3 linked regions of the Caenorhabditis elegans genome follow. The protein of the gene in region 2 purifies or fractionates together with the protein of the main gene of each other region. This does not show direct contact. Each region holds a gene or a part of one and is shown on either strand. Other genes may lie near its edges. The genes, in order: odc-1, oaz-1 and azin-1.

Evidence for each region.
Region 1: the proteins of oaz-1 (region 2) and odc-1 purify together in Caenorhabditis elegans (affinity purification with western blotting, with the first as the bait; one study listed by BioGRID). This does not show direct contact.
Region 3: the proteins of oaz-1 (region 2) and azin-1 purify together in Caenorhabditis elegans (co-purification; one study listed by BioGRID). This does not show direct contact.

The regions. Positions count from the first base shown.
Region 1 is NC_003283.11:6,897,573-6,903,238, forward strand, and holds odc-1 (Ornithine decarboxylase), read right to left. Parts: upstream 2,652-5,666; 5' UTR 2,385-2,651; coding exon 1,930-2,384; intron 1,873-1,929; coding exon 1,572-1,872; intron 1,525-1,571; coding exon 1,012-1,524; 3' UTR 968-1,011; downstream 1-967. Other genes in the region: K11C4.1 (non-specific serine/threonine protein kinase), read left to right, coding at 1-195, 547-705, 752-884; unc-68 (Ryanodine receptor), read right to left, coding at 4,444-4,597, 4,646-4,811, 4,980-5,666. UniProt on the Caenorhabditis elegans protein: Catalyzes the first and rate-limiting step of polyamine biosynthesis that converts ornithine into putrescine, which is the precursor for the polyamines, spermidine and spermine.
Region 2 is NC_003279.8:6,090,773-6,095,875, forward strand, and holds oaz-1 (Ornithine decarboxylase antizyme), read left to right. Parts: upstream 1-2,534; 5' UTR 2,535-2,573; coding exon 2,574-2,644; intron 2,645-2,695; coding exon 2,696-2,753; coding exon of another isoform or gene 2,754-2,944; intron 2,945-3,058; coding exon of another isoform or gene 3,059-3,219; 3' UTR 3,220-3,665; downstream 3,666-5,103. Other genes in the region: ZK484.6 (Phosphoglycerate mutase family protein), read right to left, coding at 1-85; ZK484.7 (Protein-tyrosine phosphatase), read right to left, coding at 4,359-4,487, 4,534-4,690, 4,734-4,909, 4,956-5,103. UniProt on the Caenorhabditis elegans protein: Ornithine decarboxylase (ODC) antizyme protein that negatively regulates ODC activity and intracellular polyamine biosynthesis and uptake in response to increased intracellular polyamine levels.
Region 3 is NC_003279.8:3,827,731-3,835,175, forward strand, and holds azin-1 (Antizyme inhibitor 1), read left to right. Parts: upstream 1-2,831; 5' UTR 2,832-3,454; coding exon of another isoform or gene 3,455-3,577; intron 3,578-3,631; coding exon of another isoform or gene 3,632-3,740; intron 3,741-4,104; coding exon of another isoform or gene 4,105-4,147; 5' UTR 4,148-4,288; coding exon of another isoform or gene 4,289-4,405; 5' UTR 4,406-4,451; intron 4,452-4,510; 5' UTR 4,511-4,515; coding exon 4,516-5,138; intron 5,139-5,198; coding exon 5,199-5,840; exon of another isoform or gene 5,841-5,891; coding exon 5,892-6,060; 3' UTR 6,061-6,390; downstream 6,391-7,445. Other genes in the region: mpc-2 (putative mitochondrial pyruvate carrier 2), read left to right, coding at 68-207, 256-307; F53F10.8 (Transmembrane protein 234 homolog), read left to right, coding at 520-711, 761-952; F53F10.1 (Coiled-coil domain-containing protein 102A), read right to left, coding at 6,431-6,856, 7,397-7,445.

The sequences.
Region 1 (5,666 bases), on a different chromosome or scaffold from region 2:
TCTCGGAAGAGCAGAACTCGGCGAGCTCCGCAAGATCTTCGTTCTCGATTTCGGATTGTGCCGAAAATTTGTGGATGACCGAAATGTGATGTTGCAGCCGAGACGGAAGGCTCCATATCGGGGAACACCTCGCTATGCGCCAATCGCATCTCATAATAGAGCGGAACATGGAAGAAAGGATGACGTCGAAAGCTGGTAATTTACTGAAATTTACCCTATTCCCCATACATGGGACGTTAAAATTTTGAGAGCAAAGAGAGAAACAGAAAAATAGTCCGAAAAGAAATTCGAACCACGTGGCAAGGGTGGCAATGAACACATGCATAAGGCTACTTATCGATTCTATAATACAACACCTGAAACACGTTTTAATACAAATTTTTTCCTGCCCATTTCTCTGTCCATTCTCCAACCGTTCATTTCCCTGGGACCCCACTGCAGAATTTTGTGAATGAAAAATTATCTGAACGCCCGCTTGAGTTGTCAGGGAACGACGCGATTAAAACCCAGTTTTTTTTAAATTTGAAAATATACATGTTTTTTTAGGTTCTATATGCTCGTCGACTTTACCAATGCAGCTCTTCCTTGGAAAGTTGTGAATGAGATCCCACAGGTTGGTGAAATGAAGAAGAACTCTCGTTTTGATCCACTCGTGACTCAATTATTGGCTGGATGTCCGGTAGATGAGTATCGCCTGATCATGAAGTTAGTCTCTACAAAAATGTACTTATTCGTAATATTCAATTTCTAGCCATATCGATGGTCTTTCATTCTTCATGGAGCCCAATTATGGATTAATCTATTCAACACTGAAAAGACTGATGCAAACCAGAAATATCCAAGAATTTCCGTACGATTGGGAGGCTGAGTATGCTGTGAAATAATAGAACTTCGATTGTCGTTAAATGAAAGATCACACTTTTTGTTCCTTTTTTTGTGATCAAGTTTCGAAATCAACAAGAATGCTAACAAAAGAATATTTATTTTCCGACACAATAATTTAGACAAGAATCAAACATGAGTTGAGTCACGAATGCTCTCCCACATTTCCTCGCTCATCACATACATCGGCACAGGCTTCGAAAATCCATTGAACGTGGTGGCAGCGGCAAGAGTGTACGCTCCCATGTCCGGATAGTAGAGCCATTCTCCAACATTCATCTTTGGCATCAACTTCTTATCCTCGACAAGATCTAGACTGTCGCAAGTTGGCCCCCAGATTGTTGACATGAACTTCTCGTTGCGATCAGTGTCAAAAAGCGGGGATCCGATTGGATGAGCATGATCGAAGAGGATGCAGTTGAACGATCCGTAGACTCCGTCGTTGATGTAGTACATGTATCCATGATCAGCGCAGTCTTTTGGATCCTTTGTGATTTTGGAAGCAGGAACCTCGGTGGCATGAATGATGTTTGCAACAAGAGAAAATGGACCGGCTGCGAAAAATCTTCCTGGTTCAGCAATCAGGCGCTTGTTGGTGTCTGGAAAGAACTCATCAAGAGCATCACGAATTGTCTCGGCAATCTGAAAAAAAATTAATTACATTAGAACTTAGTAGTTTTAAAATTTACCTTCTCGAATGGGTTATGATGTTCGGCTCCTGGAAATCCACCACCCATATCAATAATATCCATCTTGAATCCGAGCCCTTCTCCAATCTCACACAAGTTCTTGGCATGCTGAAGAGCATTCCTGTAGGCAGATGCGTCGTTGCATCCCGATCCAACGTGGAAAGAAATCCCAACAACATTAATTCCCTCTTCGGAAGCCGTCTTAAGAAGTTGTGGTGCAGCAATAATTGGGTCGGCTCCAAACTTCAAATTGAGTGGGCACGTAGCAGTTGGGTCAGATACAGCAATGCGGAGGATCATTCTGAAAATTTAGAAAATAATTTAACTTTTCCAATCAAGAATTTATGTTTAAACTTACTCAGCATTTGGATGAAGCTTGGCAATTTTAAGAAGTTCCTCCGGGTTATCAAAAGTCATCATTTTGACATCACGGTCCATTGCGTGAGCAATAAAACTGCGTGTTTTGCATGGGTTGGCATAGATGATACGTTCCGCAGAAACACCGGTCCCCATAACAATATCGATTTCATCTTTGCTAGCACAATCGAATCCACATCCCAGAGAGGCAAGAATGCGAATAAGAACCAAATCAGTGTTGCACTTGACTGCATAAAATGGCTCAATCATCGGGAGCTCTCTCTTCCAAAGCTGGAATCTCTCGATAATCTTATCAAGGTCAACGAGCATGAAAGAAGAGTCATTTTCTTGCAAATCCTTGCTGGCAGCAATGTCACGGCACATTTGGAGTTGATCAACTTGCTTTGGAAGCACGCCAATCTTGTTGTCACCAATAATTTCGAATTGAGAAATCATTTTTCAAGTTATTAGAGTTGGGGGATCTCAGCTCCAAGGAGGCGCTCCTGCACGCAAAGGATCGTAGATGTACTTGTAGCAGACGGCAGATACGACGACGATTCCGTCGAAGTCGATATCTGTGGGGATGTAAGCCGGAAGCCGGGCTGCGGACGCCGCTAGCCTCTTTGATTCGTCAACACGAGAGATTTTCTGGCAATGGGTCTTCCCAGGTGTAAGATCAAAACGCTGCTAGCAAACTCTGACGGTTAGCCACAACGTTAAGAACTGAAAAAAAAACATATTAGAATTGATAGAAACAATGGAGATCGAAAAAACAGTTAGAAAATGTAGGTCAAATTGCTCGAAAATTTTTTGCGTGTATAAGAAAAAGGGCACACACGCAGTAGACAGAAACGAGGTGTTGGTCAATCGAAGAAATGTACACATAGACGATACGATCTAATAACGAGACGGAATGGCTTATCACTGACCACCGTGTATCTATTTATACTGTTGGCAGGAAATAGGCGGAGTCAACTTTGGAGAGAGGAAATGGTGATGATGTGGTGTAGCGGTTGGGGGATGCCAGTCATGAACAATGGGTGCAGGGTGTACCCGCGTTTTATGACGGGGAGGAGGAGACGGGTGGCGATCAAAAGACAAAGATAGAACGTCCGAGTGCAATGTACCTGTATATACCAGATGGCATTATAGTGGTTTAGAGTGACGTTTGTTGTATTAGGCCAACTCGAGTTTTGGAGCAGTAACAAGGTTTTATGTGCTATACTGTGACTTATTTCTGAACCAATAAAAACATTTTTAAAGCAAAAATAATTAAAATTTTCAAATGAAGCTGGCCTATTCTAATTTAGAGCATACACCTACATAAAATTCTGACCGATCGTTAAAAACTAACGAAACAGTACAAACGTGTGATTGCGAAAATATAAAATCGAAAGGAAAACTTTGATCTGACTAGTCTAATGATAACATTGTATAGAAAACATACAACTGACATCAGCTTACGTTTCCCATCATTTATAACAACCTTCTCTTGTTCACATGAATTCGGTCAACAATTAGTCACGTTTCCACCCTCTTCTGTAACACATTCGCCCAGCTTCATTTTCTCGTTTTCCCCCGTCTTTGATTTCTTGGCGAGTGCACTCGACCCGTGTAACTATCACAAACGTCAATTTATTTACGGCATCTGGGGCCTATTCTGGTCTCCTTTAACTTCGTGACGAATCTCAGTCGTTTGATTGTTCGGCGACGTAGTTGGTCTCTACCGTACCTGGTCCATTTATAATTTATCAATTTGCATATCAATGTGATAATATCACATTGCCCCATTGTTATGCGTCGATCGTCTTCACACACACCACAAACTACTTCTTTTTGATTCTTTTGTGACATTTATGTGGTGCAAGTCTCAGACTCGAGGAGCTGCAAAATGCATTGTTTGAAAATATTTCAACGACATTCCATTCCATGAATCAGCTTATCAAAAACTGTTCTTTGGACTCGCTTTCAAAAAGGGAGTTGATCAGAGATCATGTGATTTTCATGCTTCTGATTTGACAAAGTATCCGTACCATAAATTTAAAAAGCAGTTTTAATAGAATACTGGGACCTTTCAAAAAGTAAGACTAGAATGGCGGTTTTCTTGCCTAAAAATGCTATTAAACTTCACGTTTAGACACCGGAAGTTTTATACTCACCATCATTTTTGAAATGATGAAATTTGTTATTTGTTCATAATTTTTATTATTATTAAAACATATAAAATGAAACTAGAAAATACAAAAATAGTTGTTTATCACCCAAAGTGGTTCGCTAAGGCACGTTTGAAGTTATGATTTGGTTGTTTGAAACGTTGAAAAAATATAACAATTAAACAGACTAAAAACGTCGCTCAATTCTGAATAATAACGAAGAACGACATATTCCATAAAAAATTGAAAAAGAATATCAGAATCGAAAAATACTAGTGATGAGAATTGGAACGAATAACACCTAAACATTGAGTTGACCCGAAACATTTGTTCTATTAAGAATTCTGCTGATGAAAGATTTTTTATGATTGGAGCAATTGATCCTCGTACTGTTTGACGAAACACTCTCCGACAGGGAAGAAGTCCCAGTCTCGATTATCGTACTTCTCACGTACGTACGTTTCTTGACCAGTGTACTCTGTTTCGTCTTTGTTGACCAGATGTTGTAAGAAGAACCTAGAAGTTTGAAAAGTTAGAACAGTTGAATAAAAGCATTTAACATACAGGTAATTGGCAAAGTTGTGCTCTTTGGTGGTGTGAATTTCGAAGCCTCGAGGCATCCGATCAAACGTTTCTTTGCCGATGTCGCAAATGAAACATGATGACTCGAGCTTCTCAGTTGCAGATTCTTGTTGATCACGAAGCTCTCCGAAAGCGTCGATGATCAAACCTAAAAATGTTCAATTTTTGGAAGAGGATGTTGCATCATATTTTATCAAAGCGACAGTTCAATTTAGAATTGATAACCCTCGAAGTTTTTGAGAGCTATTTTCAAGTGGAATCAGAATCAGAGAGCACTATTTTGTTTCAAAGTTGGTGATGAAGTTCAGCGACTTACCCTGCATGATAGCAAGAAGAATAATAATGACGAAGAAGAAGAATGAGATGTCGTAGAACATTCTTGGATATTCCAAATCGTCGCCATATGGACTCTCGAGCTCATCTCCAATACCTCCACCGGCACGCACTCCGGCATAAAAATGGTAAATGAAACAGGTGAGCATATTGTGACACTTTCGATCTGGCTCTTCGCCCTCTTCACCCTCTTGAACATAGAATTTACGGAAGAAATTGAACGCGATGACAGTGTAGAGATACACGACTACAAGTGTCATCATGATGGTGAGAATGAGTTGTTGCAAGTTGTGTGTAACTGATTGAAGAATAGCCTTTAACATAGGGAATGAGAGCACGACGTCAATCAAGTGGAAAGCGTAGAAGAATGGTGATAGGAACACTCCGCACGCTGAGCAGAGAAGGTATCCAACACGGTACAGGAATTGCCCATTGGTAAGGATCACACCAATCCACAACCAGCAGGAGTATCTGTAGTCGTAGCTGGAATCTGTCGACATTTTCTCTTCTCCCAAGATCGAAGTCAATGTCTCCTCGTCTACTTGATCCTTGAACTTTGAACGAGTCTTTCTGCGGACAAACTTGTCCCAGTACATCATCGGGAATGACTTTGCAGAGACAACAATTCTATCAAGATACCACATGAAAGTATCCACAATTCCTAGTTCTT
Region 2 (5,103 bases):
ATTTGGCATCGTTGTTCGCCTTCCACTTCTTGTCCACATTGTCCACGCGTTGTCCATGTCTCACCAACCAAATTGTACGACTCATGGCTCTTTTTCGTTGCGATTTTCGTTGAAATTCGAACTGATTTTTTAAAACTCTGGTGGAGAAGATTGACTTGCAACGTGGTATATTTTACATTTTTGATCAGCAATGTCACGTTTCTCTTGTAGTGGAAAAATTATTTTATGTTTTAACGTTAAAATTCTGATTCCGTTGGCGTTCTGTTTTTTTCCAACTACAGTAATTTGGTCTTAGAATTCATTAAAATCTGTTTCGAAAAAATCCAAAAGCGAGAATTGCGCCAACGACTTGCTGGCGCACTTCGCATTTTAGCTTGCGCGTTTCTCGTTTTCTTATCTCTCTCTCTAGAAAGTTTTTGAATGCATTTTTATAAGGATTCACTATTTTTTATGCTCTTACCACTGTATCCTTGTAAATCGTTTTTTTTGGTGAAGACCTCCTATCCCTTGAATTGCCGTTGATTGATTGTTTTGACCAGAAGCTGCACATCCAACTTCCGCATTTTTTAAGAAAAGAAAACAAGATCACATGGCCACCCGTGTCCTCCGAAGTTTTTCTGATTTGAAAAAAGTTGTTTGATCTATTATTTTAATTTAAAAACATTATAGCTGTTAGCTATAGATCTCAAACCCGATTTTCAAACATTGATAAGAACATTTCGGAGTTGGTAACATATCCCTTCTCTTCACGTTAAGACAACTTTCAAGATAAATATTTCAAATCCGTGACCATTCCCAATTCTTTGCTCTTTTCCCCTTGGAATTCGCCCTCCGAACAGCTGTGAAAACCAAAAACACGAACTTGACGCTGTTGAGATGTTTTTCGTCGTCTCGGTCACACAATCTGCGTCTCTGGCCTCAACCGCCGCCGCCTTCCGTCAATCAATGAAAAGCAAAGATAGATTGTATAAAGTTGAGAGATTCAGAGAAATTGCTGCTTCTCTGTTCTCTCCGTCAGCGCTTAAAAGCAGTGAAACGTGCCAATAGTTCTCCTTGATAACGACTCCCTTTTCTGGTTTTCTCTGTATCATTAGTACTTGAAAAGAAAGGAACTACGTACTCAATCTTTGATAATTGGTTGGTATACTGTCGTAATTTGTTGAATGATTTCGTAATAATTTAATTTTTATTTCTGGTTTCTGGTTTCTCTTAAAACTTACTCAAATCATTAATATTCCTATGCTCACATAAACTTAAAAGTTTTTCTTATCTGATCACAATCTAAATTAGGTCTGCAAATCATCTATCGAAAATCAATAATTATTTCGCAATAAAATAGGCGAAGAGCAAGTCTTATGACACTGTTATCTTTCCGGGAACATTCTCGGTCCACAATAGATAAGGCATCCAAATCATTCGATTCACTGTTTACACGTCGATCGATCTTGTTCTCCTTCTTCTCTATCTTCACTGTTTCACCTTCATTTTGCCTCAATAAGCTGTAGTGAAGTCATATGATTTTCTATTCTTTGTTGTCGAAATCGATTTTAATATAGAGTAGTTTCTAGTTTTACATTACTAAATCCACTCATTGATTCTATTGATCTCTCCTTTTTTAGGCGCAAATGTTTTGATTAATAATTACTTTCGATATCACAAGGCGCTGTTTGTCTGGTAATATTATGTTAGCTCCAGTTCTGATTAAAAATTTCCGTTAGAAAAAAGGTATTTTCGGAAAAGTATCCTAATGGCGTGAGTATACCAATTATTTGTATCATGGCAATTGAGCAGAACTGATAATCGAGTCCCACAGGGTTTACGATTTCTATTTGGATCTGATTTTGAAATGTGCAATAAGAAATAATCATCCCTACTTTCACTTTTGTAACGACCCATTTCGTCATTACCATATGACTTTCAAAGATCTGCGATGTGCACGTCACATATATTCATTCAAAATGGCGCCAGCAAGCCATTGAGCCAGAAAGAGCGTTTCTCTGTCGTCTCGCAATCTTTATGTCCCTCTGTTCCTCCGCCTCGCACTTCATTTATCGCCTGGTCACATGCTTCTTTGTGTTCACTCAATGTTCGTTCTGTATGTCTTGTGACAATTTACTTTAGAGGTTAATAACACAGAAATATAAGACAGTTCATTACTATGTCTGTTCTATAGATCTTCTTTGACATCAATACAACATTTTACGCTTTTAAGAATCAAAAGCCTCTAATTTCTATTTAAAAGCCACGAAGTAAATCAAATAATTGAACGAATCAAAAATCTCTTCTGACATGCTTTAATCTTTGGCATAAACTAATCGAATTATTCTAATTTATTTCTAGCATATTTGATTATAGGACACCGTAAATGTTGAGATTGGTTAAAATCAATTTTTAAACATCTGGGATACGAATCAGTTCTCTGGAATAATTTCTGATCACCACAACTATATTAATTTGTATTTCCGTTATGCTTCCTCGCCCTCGCCCACTCGTTCACTTTGCTTTTAAATCGATCTAATTCTTCTTAATTTCAGTTTCCCACCACCCGCTTCGTACCTATCAAGAGAGACAAGATGTCGAGTATTTTGAGTAGTAATTTTACGAATAAATCGAATCAATTGGTCAACGAGTCTGCCGTCGACAGGTGAGAATACAATGTGAAGGCAGTTTAAACAATAATATTTCGATTTTTCAGCTCGTTGACCGCCTCCCCATGCTCGACCCAGCCCGGCGACGTCGGATGGTGTTTTTGACGCCCCCCATGGCGTGCTCACCAAATTGCCGAACGAAACTCGCGCTATCGTATCGGCCGTTTCTCCAAACTGGCGCGTGACATCGATTGGCGAAAAGACATTGGCGATCATGATTCCACACGATCAACCGGTGCTCGGCATCTCTAAGAAGAACTTTGTGGACCTCTTGGAGTTCGCTGAAGACAAACTCGGTGAGTTCTATTTCAACCATTTCTAGATTTTCTACAAAGTTGTGTTTTTAAACGGAGAAATCCTGTTAAAAAGTTATATTCCCTGAGAAATGTTTGTAAACTTTTTTATTACAGAAATGGAGCGTGTTTTGGCTGTATTTGAGAAGGCTCGTATTAACCCAACGGAAGGATTCCCACGTACTCTTCGTTACGTCGGATTCCGTCCATATGCCATCGACGAGCATCCAGTTCATCTCCCAGCTGAAAAATACTTCATCATGAGCTACAAGGTCTAATGGATTCATCTCACCAATTTCTTTTCGTTTTATCGATTTCTCGCCGCTTTTAAAAATGTTATTTTTCTTTCTCTCACCTTTTTCTATACCAACCCCTCGAAAAAATGCACTTTAAAAACTTTCAAAAAATTTCCTCCTTCAAGAATTCTCTAGTATAATTCTCTAAATCTCTGTGTTCATGTAGTGTACAAATTCTTTAATTTTCCAGAAAAAATCCTTTTTGGCTATTTCTCTGATTATTTTTGCCCACCACACCCACTCCCATCCACAACCAGCTCATTCCTGTTTCTAAGAGATATTAGTGACCGATGCTTCCTGAGAAATTCTCTTTTTTTTAAAACATTCTTTAAATTAATCCCTCCTTTCCCACCACTTTTCTGTCCACGCGCCAGCTTTTTTGGAGAAACGAATAAATTGTCAAAAAAAAAACGATTTTGTAGAGAAATGTTCAAAATGCTCCGCCCATCATGAATTGGGTATCGTTAGGTCGATTACGCAAATGCGAAATTTTGAGACTATCTTACAAAAGTACGAAGCAAAAATACACTAGCGGGTCTCGACATGATCAATTTTCTTAAATTTGAAAGTGTGCGCCTTTAAGGAGTACTGTACGTGCAAGCTTAGGTTGCTCCGGAATTTTCATATTTTTTCCATAGTTTTGCTATACTATCAATTTATCAACAAAAAAAAACTATTTTTAGAAAAAGCTTGGAAGCATGAGAAAAACTATAATCAATGAAAATTAGGCAGAAACGAGAGTTTGATAATACAGTACTCTTTAAAGGCGCACACTCTTACATTTAATAACAAACAATTTTTGCGTCTGGGAATACCACTAGACCAGCATGGTAAAATAAAATATCGCAAAACAAAAAAAAGTTAGCGATTTTTTTGTGTTTTAGAAAAATCAGCCTGGTGAAACTCTCTGTTTGAGTTTCGAGACGAGAACTTCAAAAGGCCTCTTGGGTCCAACAATTTTAATTTTGAAGAATAGTTTTCCACTTCAAAAGATAGAATTAAGATTCTTTTCAGAGTTGGTGAACTTTCATTTCAAACAAAAAACTTTTCGAAAGGTAGAACTTTTTTATTCGAATACGAGACTATTTGGTAGTTCAAGAATTGTAAGACGGCAGGTATATTTAGTGAACGGACTTCATGTACTTCTCTGTGAATGCAAGATGAGCCAGCTTCACATCAACATCAAACATCTTTTTATCCAGACAATAGTTCAGGATTACTTGATGCACGAATAAATATTGTTGGTCTGTCTGAAAATAATATTATTTAATTTTTAAGCATATTGCAGTTGCAAACCTGAATAGAGTTGTTCCGCTGCTCACGGATCTTTTGCAAAATCTTGTCGGTTTCTTCGATTTGCTGACCACCAAGCAATTGATCCAAAATGTACTCGATCATGACCACTGAGCCGGTACGACCGATTCCTGCCGAGCAGTGGACAACGGTGGGACCCCTGAACAGAGCGATTGGCATGAGTATACTGGAACAACACTTACTTGGAAGGTCTTGTTTTCGCCAGAAGCTCCACAATTGCCATATCAGCAGTTGGCACTCCACGATCGGGCCAATCAATCCAGTGATACTGGGTGACTTTCTGAGCGAGTCCACCGGGTCCTTCTACTGTGAAAACCGTCTCCGTGATCTTGGCGTCAGTGTTCTTTTCGAACTTCATCTGAAATGAAAACCTATTAAAATTTTACAACAAAATTCAATCGAACCTTCCCAGTCGACTCGAATTTGACAATGATCTTGTGCCCCTTCTCCTCAAACTCCAACACAGGCTTATCCTTACAAGCGAAGTAGTCGCAGCACTTCTTAGCTCCTTTCTCCATAATATTGCACAGCATGAAGATCGAATCTACTTTT
Region 3 (7,445 bases), 2.3 Mb from region 2:
TAGTGTTTTCTTCTCGAAAACTACCGAAAAAAGCAATATAATATGCATTAAAATCTAAATTTTTCAGAACTCTGCTCTCTTCGCCACTGGAGCCATCTGGACGAGATATTGCCTTGTCATCACCCCAATCAACTACTATTTGAGTAGTGTGAACTTTTTCGTCATGTGCACCGGGCTCGCCCAGCTCTGTAGAATTGCACATTACAGGTATATTCAAATTTATTCTATTTCCCTGCAATTATGTATAAAATTTAGGTATCAAAATCCGGATTGGGAGACGAAGGAGATCATGGAGACCCATAATTAAATCCATAATTTTTCAAGATTTAGGAACGACAACGAGTGATTTGTATACAGGCATACACAATACATACAATAAAGATTTATAAATATGAATAAAATTTGAATTTAAACCCTTTTCTTCGATATCATATGTGGATTAACTCTTAGAAATATTTTTATTTTTTAACACAAGTTGAGCTTCGAACTTCCCTAATAACAAAACACTAAGCTTCCTGAATGTCGGAATGCGGTGTCCAATGTATTCTATCAATAATCGTTGTTGGATTTGTGTGGGGAGCTACTAATCCATTGCTCAGAGCAGCCTCAAAAGATCTGGAGAACAAAAAGAATGGAATAATCCTGGGATTTTTGAAATCTTTTCTCAACTGGAGATTCTCAATCCCTTTCGCTCTTAATCAATCTGGATCGGTGAACAAAACACATTGAACAAGTTATATAGAATAACAATGTATTTTAGGTAATGTTCAACGCTCTTGTTGTAAACTTTCCTGTTACTGTTGTTGTTCCGTGTGTGAATGCGATTCAGTTCATCGCAACAATTACAGTCGGGTGGTTGATGGGAGAGAAAATGCAGGTGTCCACAAGGAAGCAGAAAATTGGAATGACCATTTCATCGTTGGCAATTATTGGAATGCTGATTATCGATTAAATTAAATGTGAAAAAAAACGTTATTTTCATGTAAAACGCACTTTTTAGACGGAAAAAGTCAAATTTTCAGCCAAAATTTTGCTGAAATTTCAAAGAACCATATAAATCCGATTTTTTGTATTTGGTGAGGCTCACACTACCAACTACAATCAATTTTAGTCTCTAAATACCATTGCTCTGGTTGCGTGTCTGGAAAATCTCAAAGTTTTCATTTTCAGGATCGAGGAGACGCCGGAGTTCCACCAAAACGAGCACGCCACGGAAATTGATGCACAGAATCTCAATTTGTTCCCTTTATTCACCTAATTTATAGATTTTTTTTCTTAAAATTACAATTTTTATCGCTTTTTCTGAATTTTAACCCCCCAAAACATCAAAAACTCGTCGATCTCTGTAATGTCCTTCCCGATTCCCATGATATTTAAATGTTTCCTCCTTTTTTGATGTTTCTTCCCCGATTTTTCCCGAAAAAAATACAATTGTAACTTGTCGACAAATACGTGTGTTATCGATTAAAGTTTTATTTATCGATTAAATTCTCTCTGTGAAATTCGTTTGAATAATAATTTATTTGCCTTTCTTTCTTGAGCAGTTTTTGCTTTTCGGGTTTCCTTTTTTCAGAAAATAAAAATATTTTTTATAATATTTTGAATTGAATCAACATTAGCTATAGCTATAGCTTCATCGATTTGTTGTCCAAGAATCAGAAAATATTTATTTACAAAATGCATTAATGATATCATCTGACGAGAGACTGTGCGAAAGTGAGAGGTTCAAGACACTTTCGCAATAAAGCGTGTTTGCATTGCCGCGTTTTTCTTGAATTTTTTTTATTTCGGTCGAAATATTCCTTAGTTTTTCTCCTTTTAAACGAATTTCAGTTCATTTTTCACACGAAATTTGCTCCGCGTTGTTCTCTTACAATTTTCTACGATTTTTGTGTAATCGATTGAAAAGTGTAACTCGATAATTAGCGCGTTTTATCAGATCCCCAATATCTCAAGCTCTATTCCCAGAAAGTTTAATGATTACGAAGCGAAGAACATTAAAAAAACTCGTTTGCTGACCACCACGGTGTCATGTGACCACTTTTCTTCCGCGACAGCCTTCGAAAACACGCCAAAATAGAAGAGCGCGGAATTGTGATGCATGCTCTCGGAGCCCCCGCTTCTCTGCTCTCTGGCCCCAAGTCTGCGTCTCGATTCTCTTGGAAAAATTTCTTTTTTTCTCTTTTCTATCACAAGCCGCCCGCACAATTTTTTCCTCTCGGCTTCATTTTCCAATCAGTCACCAGATTTTTTCTTAATTGTCTTCTGCCCTTGTCTGCTGTTCAGGATGAACTTTGTTCGGGAGCTTCTGCGGAAATTCATAATTTTCAAAGACTTCCAGCTTTGAAAGTTATCTTTTAAGTAAAAAATCAAAAAAAAATCTAAAATTTCGCAACTTCTCTCAACTCACACTCACGTGCCAAGGTCATTCACACTTTCTCTCGCCAGTAAAATCAAATTGTGATAAAAATAACTTGATAAATTAAATATTCAATTATTTAATATTATTTTTAAATTTAAAAAACTATCAAATTTCTTCGTAATTGAAAACGGCTGACGGTATACCGATCTTATATCGCGACCTCCCTCCTTATCAAACGCCAAGTTTCACAAGCAACTTGCCATTTGTCTTTTAAAAATCACTTTGCCTTCTTTCTTATCTTTTCCATAGAAATTTTTTTTGCGGAGCAGATTATTCTAAAAATCAATCAATTTCTAGCATTTCGCTCCTATTCATTTTTCTTGTGACCGGAAGTTAATTCAATTTCTATTTAGAATCAATCAAAAACCTTGTGTTTGTTACGCAATGCTCTTTTCTGAATTTCGTTGTTTGTTCCCCATAAAAATAAAAGTTCTAAACACCATCAAAACACCGGTGTTCGTGTTTTTCGGTCGCTTTTTTTCGATTTTTGAACTGTGTCTGTTGCCGCCTCCTTCTAGGGACGAACGGAAAACAACTGACTCTCTGACATCATCACAGGATATCTTTAAGAAGCTGCTTCCCTCTTTTTCTTTTTCTTGTGTGTGCGTTATTCTAGAAAATTCAAAAAGTTTGTGTGACGTCGTTCCTCGTGACACTCTTCTTATCATTTAGAACTGCTTGCTCTATACAGTTTTCTGATTACAAGTCATCTCTTTCTTTGTCTACTTTCCTAATTCTGACAGGCATTATTAGCATTTTCTATAGAAAGAACATCACATAACGATGGTTACGTGGAAGTTTAAAGGTATTTCAACAGAAAATCGATAAATGTTGAATTTTTCCACGCATCAAAATCAATAAAATAAAATTATATTGTGTCGGTTATCTTACGTTTCGTATTCTCTTCCTCCTAATTTCTCCATTAACACCATCAATCAATCCAATCAATAATTTTTCCAAATAGAATCCGTGCCCCGTCGTGCTCGGATTTGAACTCGATACCTTGCGTGTGAACTACTAACACAAATCGTCTTGTTCCGTGCACTCCAAGGGAGAGAGTGTGCATGGAAGCTTGCCCGAACTGTCCCCAATTCGTCCAAGATTCCCTCCGCCGAGGAATCTAACGAGTCTTCCATACCGCCCTTAAGTGGCGCTGTGAGTTTTTTTTTGTAATATTTGAATTCTCAGAAAATAGTTGTTTTATTACAGGTAGTCGATCAGATCTCTAAGATCTACGCGGAGCCTCAACTTCGCGCCAGTCAAATCCAACTCGACAAGAACGCCGAGCCACCTTGGGATCCAGATCCGAAAGCCTGAGGTTAATACAGTGAATTTTCTTATGTGCTTCTACGAGTTTACATAAGTGCAAAACGGTGTTGTCACGCTCGTCGAATTAATTTAAAATATTTGGTGTGCGCGCCTTTAAGATTAATGTACAGATTTTTCTTTCAAATCTCAGCCGATTTTTCTAGTGTATTTTATAGTTTTTGTGTTATTTATTTATTTAACTGAAATAGATAGTTATTTGCACACAAAATCTTAACAGTAATCTTAAAGGCGCATACATCAAATATTCTAGATTTCGCGCACGTGCCGAGACCATGTTGCTATCGTGTACCTTAAACTCGTAGAAGTAGACATTTGACCAAAAATGTTTCTAAAAATGATTTAACAAATTTCAGACGTCAACTCTGTTCTTCAATCGCTTCCCGTTCTGCCGACTGACCGACTCTCTCTCTTCACATCTATAACCTTTTCTTCATTTTCTATTCAATCGCCCAGTAGCGTGCGTACGAGCCGGTAATCAATAGACCGCCTCGTTTCGCCCGTTTTCCTGGTCTTCCGTCAATTATCAAAATTTCGACGGTGACCTCATCTCATTCCTCGTCTCCAGCCCGTCTCTGTCCTCCGGACGACGTCTCGTGGATCTCGCGTGAAGAGCTCGCATCGCGTGTTTCCAACAACCGTCACATCCCGCCATAACTTGGCACATTCAATTTCCCCATTAAACAACAAATCGATATAAAATGTGAGTTTAATTAATTATTTTTTTCAAGAATATAGCTGTTAATATAAATATTTTTTCAGAACTGATGGTGAGACACCGCCTTCCTTCGTCTACCTACTACACTCCGGCTGGCGAGCCGGAATGGTCTCGTGAGATGTTCGGTGAGCAATCGATTGCCGTTCTCTCTGGAGCCTACCGTAATCCAATCGAAATGGCTCGCCACGTCGCCGCTCGTTGTGGTTCCTATCAACCATTTTTTGTGATGGATGTCGCTGCCATCGAACGACGTCTTGAAGCACTTCGTGTGATGCTTCCAAGAGTTCGTCCCAACTATGCAGTCGCTTGTAATGCTGATCCAGTGTTGGCTAGAGTTCTCTCGAACAACATCGATGTCAACTTTGAAGTGTCGAATACTGCAGAACTCGAGTTAGTCAGCATGAATGTCGAACCATCGAGAGCAGTTTTCTGCTCACAACTGATGACTCGTAAAGCTATCAAAAATGCTGTTTTGGCTGGATGCTCCACTTTTGTTGTAGAAAGCGAGAAACAAGTTACCGATGTGATGAATGCATCACCAGAAGCTGAAATCATCCTAGCTGTCTGTCTTCCATACTCGACTGGAGAAGTTCCATTCGGATGCTCAGTTGATGAGATTGAGGAGATTCTAGATATGGCTCATCTTCTTGGTGCAAATGTTACCGGAATCTAGTAAGTTAAACTTTTTTTAAAATTTCCAAATCATATCTTAACAAAAGTACATATTTTCAGTCTCGAACTTGGACTTCGTGCCACCCTGGAGGACTACATCACATCAGTTCACGATGCTCGCTCGATCTTCGAAACTGCTGATCAAAAGTTCCTGACACTCCGTCGTGTCTGCTTTGGGAATCTCTCTGTTCCAACTGGAGCCGATGGAGCTGTGAATAATGAATTCATGTCATTTTGCAACTCTCTCAACAATGTCATTGATGACCTATTTGAATCTAATATTGATTTCTCTGCAAGCATCGGACGTTTCCTTGTGACAAATGCATTCACATTGTGCACAAATGTTATTGGAAAACGTGCAATGGACGCCAAATTTATTACAAACGATGATTTCGATGATGGAGTTGGATTTGTATATCAAACCAATGATGGTGTATATGGATCATTTGGATGCAAGCAAATGGATATTAAACCATTGTGTAAACCATTGGATGTTGAGAATGACTCTGAAGAGCAACTACATTTCGGAACGATTCTCGGCCCAACTTTGGATGGAACCGATGTTGCTCAAAGACTCATGAAAAGCCGTCAATTGCGTGTCGGCGAGTGGCTCGTTTGGGAACAAATGGGCGCTTTCACAATTCCTGTTGACAGTGAGCATTCGGTGCCGCCTGTGTATTACTATTCTGGAAAAGAATGCTGGTGAGAACTTTTGAACCTTGAGATTTTGAAATTAAATTTGAATTATTCCAGGCAAAAACTAATCCACAAAGATGAACAACGCCGTTCTCCATCGCCAAGTGTCAGTGACAACGAAGATATTGGAAGTGATGGTGAAGGTGGCTACGCATCTTCATGTGAGGATTCGGAGGCGGAGATGGCTTTGGAGCCATTGATCGAGGATTTGAACGAATTCTTTTGATTGTTCCTAAGACTCCCCTGCTCATCCTGGAGACACAAATAATATTCAAATATTCCCCATTTATATTTCAAAAACTTTCTAGGTCATTTTTCTTCTTTTAATTCCTATTTTCTATTTCTCGAAACCTGTCCGTGATCCAATCTGTCTTTTTCAAACTAAAAAATCTTGATTCCAATTTTTTTCTCTCGATTTCTCTTTTTTTGCTCTTTCGGATTGTGTTATATTCCTGATTTCCTGAATTTTTTCCTGAAATTTCATATGTTTCCTGACCACGAAATTTGAATTTGAATTCGAATTCCTTTGAAAAAAGAAATAAAGGTCGAAGAAGTTAAAATAGTTTATTTTATTTACTCAAAAAAAAAAGAAACATTTAGGAACTGCTTGCTCTTTTTGAATTTTTTGCCGCCATCAGCTCCCTCTCCATACTTTGGATTCGTAAACGGAGATCCTGGATTGTCTTTCCATCGGTTTCAATCTTCTCTCGACACTTGTTCAACTCATTCGCCTGATCCTTCAGGAATTCATTTTCAGCCTTCAATTCTTCATTTATATCGGATTTAGTCGTCTCAACGGGCGGCTCATCGACACTTGGCTCACGAAGAACTGCTTCAATTTGAGCCGCCGAATAACTTTTGACTAGAATTGATGGAGGATCACATGAAATTGAATGAATTGTCTGAACAACTGCATTTCGTTTGGTTCCGTCGATTTCTGGTTTTTGAGAGATTTCGAGTTTTGGCTCGTCGGATTCCGAGTCGACGTGGTACAGTTGTTCCGCTAGAAATCTCTTTTCTTCCTGAAAAAATGTTTAAAATTTAAAATTTAGCAATGGGTCCAGGCACGAATGAAATGTTCCAACTACCGTACCCGCAGCAGTTATTCTAGCAATTTTCGCTGAATTTCCCATTAAAACTATTAAACGCGATGGTACGGTTGCTGTAAAGTTCGTATTTATAGTACCAGGACCTAATTGTATTATGGAAACTATTATGGGAACACCGAATTCCGAAAATACGTATTGCGCAACATATTTGACGCGCAAAATATCTTGTAGCGAAAACTACAGTAATTCTTTAAAATACTACTGGCCCGATTTTGCGTTGTTTTTTTCTCATTTATTGGTGAAAATTTTTAGAATAGCATCGAATTGAAAAAAAGCACGAAAAAGTACACGAAAATCTGTGCTACAGTAGTCATTTAATGGATTACTGTAGTTTTCGCTACGAGATATTTTGCGCGTCAGATATGTTGCACAATACGCATTCTCAGAATTTTGTGTTCGCGTAATATATGAATTGCGCAATAACATGCAAGAGAAAAAAGAAGAAAAACCTACGAGGAGAAGATCATAATTGAGTCGTAATGTTTCAGCTTCTTCACGAGCA